Sus scrofa: one gene and its partners. The protein of the gene in region 1 purifies or fractionates together with the protein of each later gene. This does not show direct contact. Links are inferred from orthologs where the notes say so. Each region holds a gene or a part of one and is shown in the gene's direction. Other genes may lie near its edges. The genes, in order: LZTS2, DYRK1B and DYRK1A.

Region 1 (4,393 bases):
CCTAAATAATGACACTTTTCCATTTCATTTCCTCTGATATCCCGAAGTGCCCGTTTCCTTTTAGATTTGCCTGCAGAAGTGGTGAGAATGCAAGCTGTTTTAAAGGGGCTGGGGAGAAACCTTTTGTAGAGGGGGTTGGGGGAGGTTTCCTGCTCCCTGGAAGCAGGGCTGCCTTATCAAGGTCTCCCTGTAACCTGAGAGGAGGCTCTGGACCCCTGTGGGATGGATGGTCTGGGGTCTCTGGTCTGTGGTGTGTGAGAACTGTGACTGCAGTTGTCTTCTGAAACAGACCCTGGAGCAAAGCCATTCCCTGGGGGGGAGGGGGGAGATCCTCCAGGGCCTCCCTTCTTGGGGGTCTCTCCCAGACTGGCTGGAGCCAGCTCTCCTAATCCCACAGTAATCATTCCCAGCCGCTGGCTGGTCTAGGCCTCATCCAGGGGCTACAACACTGAACATCAGCCATGCCTTCCAGATGCACCCCACCAGATCAATGCTACCTAGAAAGGTGTTGGTCTGGTCTCCCTAGAATGCCTGGTGTGTTCTCAGGAAATACTTTAGGAGTTTCCATTAGGGAACTTTTGCGAGGTGTCTGTGTGAACTGGCTATAGAGGAATAGATACACACTTGCCCGGCTTGCCCCACCCTCCTAGCAGACACCACCACACTGCACAAACCAGCTCGGGGGAGGGGAAGCTAATTCTCCCCCAGCCCCACCCCGTACACAAGCACATTCCATTCCACACCTGTCTTAAGCTCCTAGCATCAGAATTAGCCAGAAGTATGTTCCGGAGTAACTGCAGCCTAGAAAGTGGCAGGTAATCCCTAGTTCCTGGGTAAGGTCCCTGGGACTCCCTGTCCCTGTACTCAGCCAAAGTGGATTGAGGCAAATCACCTGGGCTAGAACCAGCATTCCATGTGCCCAGTTGGACATTTAGAACCTTCCTGAGAGCTGAGGAAGAGCCTGACAGAACAGGGTCCCTGGATCTGCAGCGCTGTCTGCTGTCTTCAGACTCATTGTCACACTTAGCTGTGTGGGGGCAGCTTTGGTTCTCCATCTTGCATTTGAGAAGGGACTAAACTCACAAGACTCCGGCTACCCAGGGCTCAGGCTGCAAATACAGCCCAGATACCTGTAGACAGCACAGTCTGCCCTCACAAAGGCCACTTTGGGTGCCATGGAGGGAGGGAGCCCTTGGTTCCTCCCTGCAGTACAGGTCAACTTCCTGTTTGTGCCTGTGGGTGGAACTTTTACGAGTCTAGGAGAAGCGTGGCCATACTCTGTGGGGGCCCAAACCGGCAGGCCGGCTCACCTGGGCCGACACCTACTCGGGGAGGGGGAGGTGCTGGTCCTCAAGGGCAGCCCCAACGCCGAGGTGTGTGTGTGTGAGGAAGGCGGGGTCTGTTTTGGTGAAACCCGAGCCTTCTTTGTCTGCTTCCCAGGGGTTTTCCCCATCTGGGGACTGGGCTGAGCATGGACCAGGATGGGCTCCCTAAAGCGCTGAGGAAGGTGGCTGTAAAGCCCTACAGCCGACTTGGTTAGGACAGCCAGCCAGCTTAGCTGTCACGTGCCACTGGCCCCTTCCCCGAGCTGAAAGACAAATGCTGTAAGGTGTGAAGTCAGAGGCCAGAGGAGCAGTCCTGGGCCACCATCGAGCCACATCTGGGCTGGGCACTGGGTCGGTTGTTGAGGGGGTGCTGCGCAGACCACTCCCCTGTCGGGGTCGGGGGCGCGGCCTCAGCCGCCCCGCCCCGCTCCTCCAGGCCCGGCCGGACGGGCGCTGGGAGTCCGCAGCCCGGAGCGGGCTTGGGAGCCGGCCGATCTGCGGCGAGGAGGTGCTGGCGCTGGAGCAGGAGCCGGGAGGGGAGCTGGAGCGGCGGCGCAGGTGGCCCTAGGTGAGTGCGTGGTGGGGCCGCGGAGGTGTCGGAACTCTAGCTCCTGCACAGCCCCGCGCCGGAGCGAACTTTACCGGTCTTGGAAGGTTGGGGGTTGGAGTGAGGAGGGGAGTCCCCAGTGCAGGAGGCACAAGCGAAGAGTGTGAACAGGGAACCTACACGGAACCTCACACTCACGGGTCCAAACACGCGTACACACAGACCCACGCGCGCACCTGAGACAGACGAACACACGTGCACCCTAAAGAGGACGCGCCCAGTGAGCTGTGCCTGCCGTCCCTGGAACAACGCCACTGGCCCGCGGGACCCCCAGCGGGCAAGGCGCGCTGCTGCCGCGTACTTGACAGGGGTGGGAGGAAAGACCCAGGGACCGCCGACGGGGGCGGGCCGGGTGGGACAACTCCAGAGGTTCCTGCTTTCCGGCAGCCCGCAGGTGAAGACTAAGACGTAAACAGGAGCCGAGCACGTGATCGTAGCGCAGACCTGTGGGCTGTGCTCCCCCCACCCGGGCCTCAGGGCGGGAACCGCCCGCCCCGGTGCAGGACGGGCTTGCAAGGTACCTGGCCGGGCTGTAGTCCATTCTCCACCTCCCCCGGAAGGAGAACACAACGCCCCCTGGAGTCGGGTTAGCGAAGGAGAACAGGAGGCTGTTGGTCTGGCCTGGGGTTACCTGGGCTCTTCGCCCTTCCTTCTCCCCAACATGGTGCCCCATCCCTGAAGATATTGGGGGCGTGGGGGCGATATTCTGGATGGCAGCGTATAGCAGCCAAGGGAGCAGCTACGGCAGCGCCTGTGGGTGCCCTTCCTACTACCACCCCTCCCTGCAGAGCTAGGAGCTCCTCCTTGCAATGTAGGAACAGAAAGCCCACGCATGCAAGAGTGGGAGTCCCCCTTCCCCAGAGAATGCAGGAGCGTGCACATCTCAACACCAGAGAGGGCCTGTCTCCCTCCCGTAGAAGGGAAGACAGCCCCCTCCCCCCAGGGCATGAAAGTGGGCATCGGCCCTCGGCCTCCTTCCTCACCCCACCCCCCACCCCTACACGCACGCTGAGCCCAGCTGCTGCCTGAGCTTCTGGGCTGGCTGCCAGAAAGGGGAGGCGGCTCCTAGTGCCCCAGGAGGCTGGGATCAGGGCAAGGCCAGAAGAGGGGGGGGGGGTCTCTACCGGAGTGGGACTCAGTCTGTTCTTGTGAGCAGAGGGTCTAGGGTGAGCCTGCGGGTGGCTGAGCTGTTTCCCTTTCCAGGGAAAAAGAAAGAAAAACAATCCTTTCCATAGAGCTAAAAATAGAGCTGAGAGCCTGCCAGGGCTGTGGCCTGGAAGGGGGGGAGATGCTCCTTCCTGGGGTAGAGGAGCTGTGGCAGGCCTTGGCCCTGGATGGGGCGGAGTTAGGGGCCTGGAGGCTGTCCTTGTACAGCCGTGTGGGCATCAGCTGACCTGACTGGGTCACAGAGACCCTACGGGAAAGTCTGTGTGATAAAATGTTTGTGAAATACGTTGTGTACATGTAAGAAGACGTTTTTTGACTGTGAATAAGACTGTCAGTGTGTGAAAAATGCTTAGGAGACTAAGTGTATTTAAGATTGTGACTGGGTGCGAAGGACTTCGAGCTGTGAAAGCCTGTGTACAACTAGGCATGTGAAACGAATGTCTCTGTGTGTTGGCCTGAAAGATTATGGGAAGAAGAGACATGGAACCTCGTGATGAAAAAGACTGTATGATTGTGGCTGTGTGAGACTGTGGGAAAGGTCGTGTGGGTGTTAAGACTGTTTTGTTTGCCGAGCTGAGAATATCCGTGACCCTGAGAAGACAGTGGGATGTTGTGTGCTACGCGGCTGTGTAGGTTTGGCCTGTAGGCTTGGATGGGCTCACCTCAGTGACTGTTGGGCCCAGGGGCTGCTTCTCTCGGATCAGTGGCCTCTCTCTTAGGAAATGACTCTGAGGGAAGGCTGGGGAGCACTGAGCCGCGCTGGGGAAAGGCCTAGGCTTTCTAGGGTAAGGTCCCCCAAGGTTGGCGGTGACCGAGTGTGTTCTCCGAATGGGCCGCCAGGTGGCGCCACCTCCACAAATCCAAGCGTGCCTCCTCCAACCGGCTGCGGGTGGGGCAGACACCCACCAAGCCTTGGCCCCCGACTTGTGCTGGGGCGCAGGGCCCCGAATCGGGGGCAACTGACCCTCCGCCGCCCCCTCTGGACTCCGAAGCTGGAGAGTGTGTCTGGGGGAAGAGGCATCGACGAGACAAGAGAAGGGGGAAGGGCGGCCGCCTCGGCGCCTGGCCCTTTGTGCTCGAACAATGACCAGCTGCCGCTGGCCCCGGGGCCCGGGTAGGGGTAGAGGGTGACCTGCCGCCGCCGCCGCCTAATCCTGAGCCGACCGAGACCCCAGACACTGGCCCTCGGAAGGAGGGAGCCTGAGTCCCGCCGCGCAGCTCCTGCGTGTTGCCCGCCGGACACGCGTGACGCGGGGTGCCTGCGCGTGTCCGCGCCCCGGGGGCGGGGTCGCCC
Region 2 (3,239 bases), on another chromosome or scaffold:
GGTCTGGATTGGAAGGGTGGGAAGAGGCTAGGTCTGCGGATTGCCGGATCCTGGTGACCCATAGGGGCTCAGGGTCAGGCCAGGGGATGGAGATCGGGATCAGACTAGGCCAGCAGAGACTCCTGAAACTGATGAGTGAGGTAGTGGCAGCAATCCTTGGGAGGTTGTGCTGAAAACATCAGGGTTTGAAGACCCCCATCCCCAGTTCTGGAGGCAGGAGGCTTGTGCACAGTCAGTCCTCCTAGGTTTGGGGGTGTCGGGGGTACCCACAGGGAAGGCTGGGACCTCTGACTGTTGCCCTTTCCCCTCCCCCAGATCTACCAGTACATCCAGAGCCGTTTCTACCGTTCGCCTGAGGTGCTCCTGGGCACACCCTATGACCTGGCCATTGACATGTGGTCCCTGGGCTGCATCCTGGTGGAGATGCACACCGGAGAGCCCCTCTTCAGTGGCTCCAATGAGGTGTGCTCCCGAGGAGGGGGTGTGCTGGAGGGGGTGGAGGCCTGGCTGGCTGATGACCCTGACTGCCCGCCTGCTCCCAGGTGGACCAGATGAACCGCATTGTGGAGGTGCTGGGCATCCCACCAGCCCCCATGCTGGACCAGGCACCCAAGGCTCGAAAGTACTTTGAGCGGCTGCCTGGGGGTGGCTGGACCCTGCGAAGGACAAAGGAACTCAGGAAGGTGCGGCCCCTGCCCCACGCCGCTCCTCCCACCCCGGCGGCCCCTCACTCTCTCACACTTGGGGCGCCCTCCCCCTCTCTCCCTGCTGCCTCTCCCTTGTGTCTTTCCCTTCCTTCCTCTGCCCTGTCTTTTCCTTCCTCCCCCGCCCACCCCATCTCTCCTCCTACCCACCCCACAGCTCTTCTTAGCTTCTCTCTTTCTACTTTCTCTCTTGTGCCTCTGTCTCCCCATGTGTGTCTCCCTGCCCCTCCTGCCCACTGACGGCCACTCTCTTGCCCCCCCTCCCACCTCCCCCTGCCAGGATTACCAGGGCCCCGGGACACGGCGGCTGCAGGAGGTGCTGGGCGTGCAGACGGGCGGGCCCGGGGGCCGGCGGGCGGGGGAGCCGGGCCACAGCCCCGCCGACTACCTCCGCTTCCAGGACCTGGTGCTGCGCATGCTGGAGTATGAGCCCGCCGCCCGCATCAGCCCACTGGGGGCTCTGCAGCATGGCTTCTTCCGCCGCACGGCTGATGAGGCCACCAACACGGGCCCGGCAGGCAGCAGTGCCTCCACGTCGCCCGCGCCCCTTGACACCTGCCCCTCCTCCAGCACCGCCAGCTCCATCTCCAGCTCTGGTGGGTGCTCAGTGCCAGATGGGGTAAAACAGGGGTGGGGGCACCTCTGGTTTGGGCTGATCTGGGCAGCCCTGCCACTGAGCCTTCACCTAGAGCTTTGAAACTGCATGACCCTGAAACTCCAGAAGGGGTGGGCAGGCGAGCTCAGACTGGCCCTGACCTGGTCTCTCAAACTGAGCTCAGTTCTGACTCTTTGATGCCCTAAACTGAACTCTGACCCCTGGTCTCAAAATTGGGCCTGATCCTCCCAGTGGGTACCGCCCCAAAGTCTTAGACCTGAGCCTGGGCTGTGAACCAGACTCTGCCACCTGAAGACCCAGCCGCCCCGTCTCCTCGCCTAAGCCCTCTCCTCTCCTTCCCTGGCACTTCCAGGAGGCTCCAGTGGCTCCTCCAGTGACAACCGGACCTACCGCTATAGCAACCGATATTGTGGGGGCCCTGGGCCCCCCATCACTGACTGTGAGATGAACAGCCCCCAGGTAATGGGGCCTTGGGGACTCTGGAGGTGGGTGGTGGAGTATCTGGGGCTTCAGGACCTAGGTCTCCATCACCCACTGTTCCTTTGCTCCTTTAGGTCCCACCCTCCCAGCCGCTGCGCCCCTGGGCAGGGGGTGATATGCCCCACAAGACACATCAGGCCCCTGCCTCCGCCTCATCACTGCCAGGGGCTGGGGCCCAGTTACCCCCCCAACCCCGATGCCTTGGTCGTCCCCCATCACCAACCTCGCCACCACCCCCAGAGCTAATGGATGTGAGCCTGGTGGGAGGCCCTCCGGACTGCTCCCCGCCTCACCCGGCACCTGCCCCCCAGCACCCGGCTGCCTCAGCCCTCCGGACTCGGATGACAGGAGGTCGTCCACCCCTCCCACCCCCTGATGACCCTGCCACTCTGGGGCCTCGCTTGGGCCTCCGTGGTGTACCCCAGAGCACGGCAGCCAGCTCATGACCCTGCCCCCTCCCTGGGGCCCCTCCTGAAGCCATACCCCCCATCTGGGGGCCCTGGGCTCCCATCCTCATCTTTCCCCTTGACTGGAATTGCTGCTACCCAGCCGGGGTGGGTGAGGCCTGCACTGATTGGGGCCTGGGGCAGGGGGTCAAGGAGAAGGGTTCAGGTGCACCCTCCCCACTAAGGACTGGACCCTTGGCCCCCTCTCCCCCTGTGTTTTCTATTTATTGTACCAAAGACAGTGGTGGTCCAGCGGGAGGGGGAGAGTCCCCTCACCCCAGGGCCCTAGGAGGGGGTGGGGGCAGGTAGGGGGAGATGGCCTTGCTCCTCCTCGCTGTACCCCCCAGTAAAGAGCTTTCTCACATGCCCCGCCTGAGCGTTTGCAAGGCCTTGGCTCCCCTCACCCAGCCCTCAGCGGTGTGATGGGGAACGTGTTTGGGGAAGGGGTGCTGGAAGAGCTTTCTCATGTGGAACGCGTCCCCTGGGGACGTTAGCAGTGCTGATGCCAGACCTGGGGCTGTAGGCGGTCTGGGGCTGTGGAATCCTAGACAGAGACCCTGGAAAGCATCCTAGCCCACATTGCCTTATCTAGGGTAAACTAAGAAGGATAAAGGCCCAGCTCTGGCCTGTCTCTGGGAAACATCAGGTTCTGCCCTAGAAAGCCAGGGCTTCCACAGAGTCGGCACAGGCGTGGCTGCTTTTGCCAGGTGTCTAGTGGGTGATGAGTGCTTGTGGTCGGCCTGATTGGAGCCACCTGGGGATTGACAGGCAGTTTACGCCCCCCCCCCCCACGTCCGGCCTTTGGAATCATTACGGAGCAAAACGTTTTGAGAGTTCTCAGGCCAAGGGATAATTACCGGGGTTCCAGGTAAGTGGGCCTGTTTCCATGATAATTTGGAAAACTCTCCCGACCCGCCAATTAAGAGCCGCCAGGTTCAAAAGGTACCGTCCTGACCATTGGGGAGCGGTGCTTCCGGGAAGAGGAATTCTGCT
Region 3 (3,645 bases), on another chromosome or scaffold:
TCAGTTTCAAAAAACTGAACAAATATAATTGTGTTTGAGCTTTCTTCGACAATGTTTTTAGTGCTCAGCACATTATAGATACTCAGTAAACAAGTGATGAATCGGGGAACCCAGAGGATTGTTCTTCCTTTGGAAGAACATTCGCATCATAGTTTCTTAGAGGGATTTTCATAATCCCATTTGAATTCCGACATCAGTTACCTTTTGCATTCCTTTCGTGGCTGCTTCTTAATCAGATCACACTCTTACACGGACCATGTCTCTAGGGTGTCTTATGTCACAGTGGGTCTCTGTTTTTAGTTTAAACTGATGAACTCTGATTAAGAGCATCTAGCATCCATTCTTAGGTAACTGCCGCGGAGAGTTGAGTTGTGCTGTGGACTCCTGTGGAGCCCTGCGGTGGTTGTGTAGTGCTCCTCCTCCTGACTTTAGATCACGGAAGTGACCTAAAAGCAGCAATACCGACATTAATTGTTCAGGGCTGCTCCCAGGACAGCACAGTGTATCCCATTCTCAGAGACCAGATGTTGAATACTGTCTTAGTTATTCCAGATAGATCTGTAGAGAAACCTCTGTTTTACCGGATCCTAAAAGACCAAAATGAAGGTCACCTTGACAAATGGTTGTTTTATATCATTCTAGTTGAGTTACAGGTGCTCAGTTTGGTATATATAAGAATTTTTATACTATAAAGCAGTGCTTTCCTTTATTGAATGACTTCATCTGATGTGAAATTGGTATTAACACTTAAAGCACAACAGTTTGAAGCATTTATTGACTATTTAGCCTTTTTAGAGAGTCAATACTGATACCAAGTGATGTATTCTATCCTCTTTCCCCATTTATAAGCCTACTCATAATTTCTTGTGATTGAGCTTTAGTTTGAAGTTTCCACAAAGGTTCAGTCTTAGACAAGATGTCCCAGGTACCAGTTTGATGAACATAATCAGATGCTTTGACTACGACCTCTCAAAGACCATACACCTTGATTTTCAAACTTTTGCTTGCCTAAAAGGAAAAAAAAAAATCTGTCTTCCTTTGACAGTTGTTGTGGGAAATTACTGGTAAAATCTAAGCTCAGCAAAGCAGATTTATAGATGTCAAAGCCTCCCAGAGAGGGCGGCCAAGTATCTCGCTGTCGCAGGCTGGACATCCCAGTGGGTGGAGCAAAGTGCTGAGGCGGGTGCTCAGAAAGTGAAAAGTGTTTTCTTTTACAAATGAGGATAAAATTAGCAAAGTATTTCCAGTACTGTTCGTCAGTTTGCTGCTTGTATTTTCACACCTGACTTAATTTTTTTTTAATAAGGCACTTTGTTGGTACTACTTACATTATATTGCTTATTGGCGGACACTGTACACTATATGAATTCAGCAGATGAGCAGTTTAGAGGTTCTTAACTGATTAAAGAACGTGCTGTTTACTGCAGAATGCTGATCTCCAAATTTTAGTTTGATTTTCACTCTGCATTTGACGTCGTGTATAGATTGTTAGAGAGTTCATGCATGTGTTATTCTCATCTTACTGCTATGTATAATTAAAAATGAAACTTTTTTCTCTTTCAGTGCATTTAAAACGCCACTTTATGTTTCGAAACCATCTCTGTTTAGTTTTTGAAATGCTGTCCTACAACCTCTATGACTTGTTGAGGAACACCAATTTTCGAGGTGTCTCTTTGAACCTAACACGAAAGTTTGCACAGCAGATGTGCACTGCACTGCTTTTCCTTGCGACTCCAGAACTTAGTATCATTCACTGTGACCTAAAACCTGAGAACATCCTTCTTTGTAACCCCAAACGCAGTGCAATCAAGATTGTTGACTTTGGCAGTTCTTGTCAATTGGGGCAGAGGGTAAGTATATTTATTTCTGGACTTGTGAATTCAAATAGAATTGAGTAAAACGGTGTAGATAGTTAAAATGTTATTAATCTGTACACAATTTGGAGGTAATTACAAGATGGTTTATGGTTCAAATGTAGCACTTGACTCACCTTGTGTTTTACCTATTTGGCGAAAATACCTTTTAAAATGCAAATAATAATACTTTGAATTAGAATGTATTGGTTTTTCAAAGTTTATTTTAAAAAATTATCTGTATGCAAAAGGCAAAGAAAATAGGGGATGAATGTATTAAATATTAGGTGATTTATTAAAAATTTAGTTCCTGGGAGTTCCCATCATGGCTCAGTGGTTAACGAATCTGACTCGGAACCATGAGGTTGCAGGTTTGATCCCTGACCTGGCTCAGTGGGTTAAGGATCCGGCATTGCTGTGAGCTATGGTGTAGGTTGCAGATGCGGATCTGGCGTTGCTGTGGCTATGGTGTAGACTGGTGGCTACAGCTCCGATTCGACCCCTAGCCTGGGAACCTCCATATGCTGCAGGTGCGGCCCTAGAAAAGACAAAAAGACCCCCCCCCCCCCAAAAAAAAAAAGATTTAGTTCCCAAATAGAAGTTTTAGTGTAAGTTTGGGGAAATTCCAGTAATAGAAATATCGAATCCTTGCTGTAAAATATTTCACCAAATATAGCTCAAGATAAGTGTTTTTCCTCAAAAAGCTGATGGGTTAGAGTTCCTGCTGTGGTGCAGTGGGTTAAGGGGTCTGGTGTTGCCACAGCTATGGTGTAGGTCATAGCTGCAGCTGGGACTTGATCCCTAGCGCAGGAACTTCCATATGCCATGGATGCAGCACCACCACCCCCAACAAAAAGCTGATGGGTTAAAAGAAAAAAAAAGGGAGGTAATTTTGCATTACACATGGCAATGTAGTTAGAAATTACTCAGTTAGTAGACATAGTTGTTTTGATAAATAAGTTTAAATTTTTTTTCCTTTTATAAATTTTTAGACGTATCCAGACTGATTTTCCTCAGAATGCTGAAAACAGACATGTCCATAGCAATAAATAGATTTAGGTTAGATGATTTAGGAAAGATTTTTCCTGCTATTCTTTTGAGCATTATGAAAGCTACTCTAACAGTATTTTGTATATAAAATAGAATTTACAGATTCTCTTCTTGAAACTAACTAGGGTCACCATTTGATAACACTTCATTCACTTTTTAATTACTATTCCTATTTAACTAAGTATTGAAACTACATTTCTTTAAAAAAAAGTAAAAATATAACTAACATTCAGGTATCACTGTTTCATAATGGTTTTCCATTTCTTAATTTTCCAAATTAATGAGATTTCCTGTTCTGTCCAACTTTTTTCCAGCTTTTAAATACAGTAGGTTTATGGCCAGTTAACAGGATTGTCCTTTTATTACTTTCTGCAAATTATCTTATGAAAGCAGTACTATAGATCATTGAAATAATTTTTTTAAATAGATGGATTAGGAAGCAAGGTTTGCTGTTTCAGATGCCTCTCAAAATCGAGAGATACTCATAGTCACTGTGGGATAAAGTCTATTGTAAATGGAAAATACGTGCCCATCTTGAGAGTAATTGCAAAAGATTTTAGACTTGCATAGTTTTTTCCCTCTTTAAACCAAATCATATCTTCTGTCCTAATGTCAAACACTGCTGTGTCTCTCCAGCCAAACCAAGACAACTATGCCTTTAGCTCAGTGAGTTTTTACCTCTGTGAGTGTGTCAGAATCCCATGGGAATTTGTTTCTAAACTAGGCCAGCACTGGCCCTACT

What was found.
Region 2: the proteins of LZTS2 (region 1) and DYRK1B purify together in Homo sapiens (affinity purification with mass spectrometry; 3 studies listed by BioGRID and IntAct, counting the BioPlex papers as one, with this or other methods). This does not show direct contact. The link is inferred for Sus scrofa from reciprocal best matches to the Homo sapiens genes LZTS2 and DYRK1B.
Region 3: the proteins of LZTS2 (region 1) and DYRK1A purify together in Homo sapiens (affinity purification with mass spectrometry; 8 studies listed by BioGRID and IntAct, counting the BioPlex papers as one, with this or other methods). This does not show direct contact. The link is inferred for Sus scrofa from reciprocal best matches to the Homo sapiens genes LZTS2 and DYRK1A.

Annotation. Positions count from the first base shown.
Region 1 is NC_010456.5:112,076,758-112,081,150, forward strand, and holds the start of LZTS2 (leucine zipper putative tumor suppressor 2), read left to right. Parts: upstream 1-1,453; 5' UTR 1,454-1,893; intron 1,894-3,070; exon of another isoform or gene 3,071-4,213; intron 4,214-4,393. UniProt on the Homo sapiens protein: Negative regulator of katanin-mediated microtubule severing and release from the centrosome. Required for central spindle formation and the completion of cytokinesis.
Region 2 is NC_010448.4:48,305,217-48,308,455, reverse strand, and holds the end of DYRK1B (dual specificity tyrosine-phosphorylation-regulated kinase 1B), read left to right. Parts: intron 1-315; coding exon 316-462; intron 463-542; coding exon 543-683; intron 684-984; coding exon 985-1,300; intron 1,301-1,672; coding exon 1,673-1,779; intron 1,780-1,874; coding exon 1,875-2,246; 3' UTR 2,247-2,619; downstream 2,620-3,239.
Region 3 is NC_010455.5:201,137,393-201,141,037, forward strand, and holds part of DYRK1A (dual specificity tyrosine-phosphorylation-regulated kinase 1A), read left to right. Parts: intron 1-1,563; coding exon 1,564-1,850; intron 1,851-3,645. UniProt on the Homo sapiens protein: Dual-specificity kinase which possesses both serine/threonine and tyrosine kinase activities. Exhibits a substrate preference for proline at position P+1 and arginine at position P-3.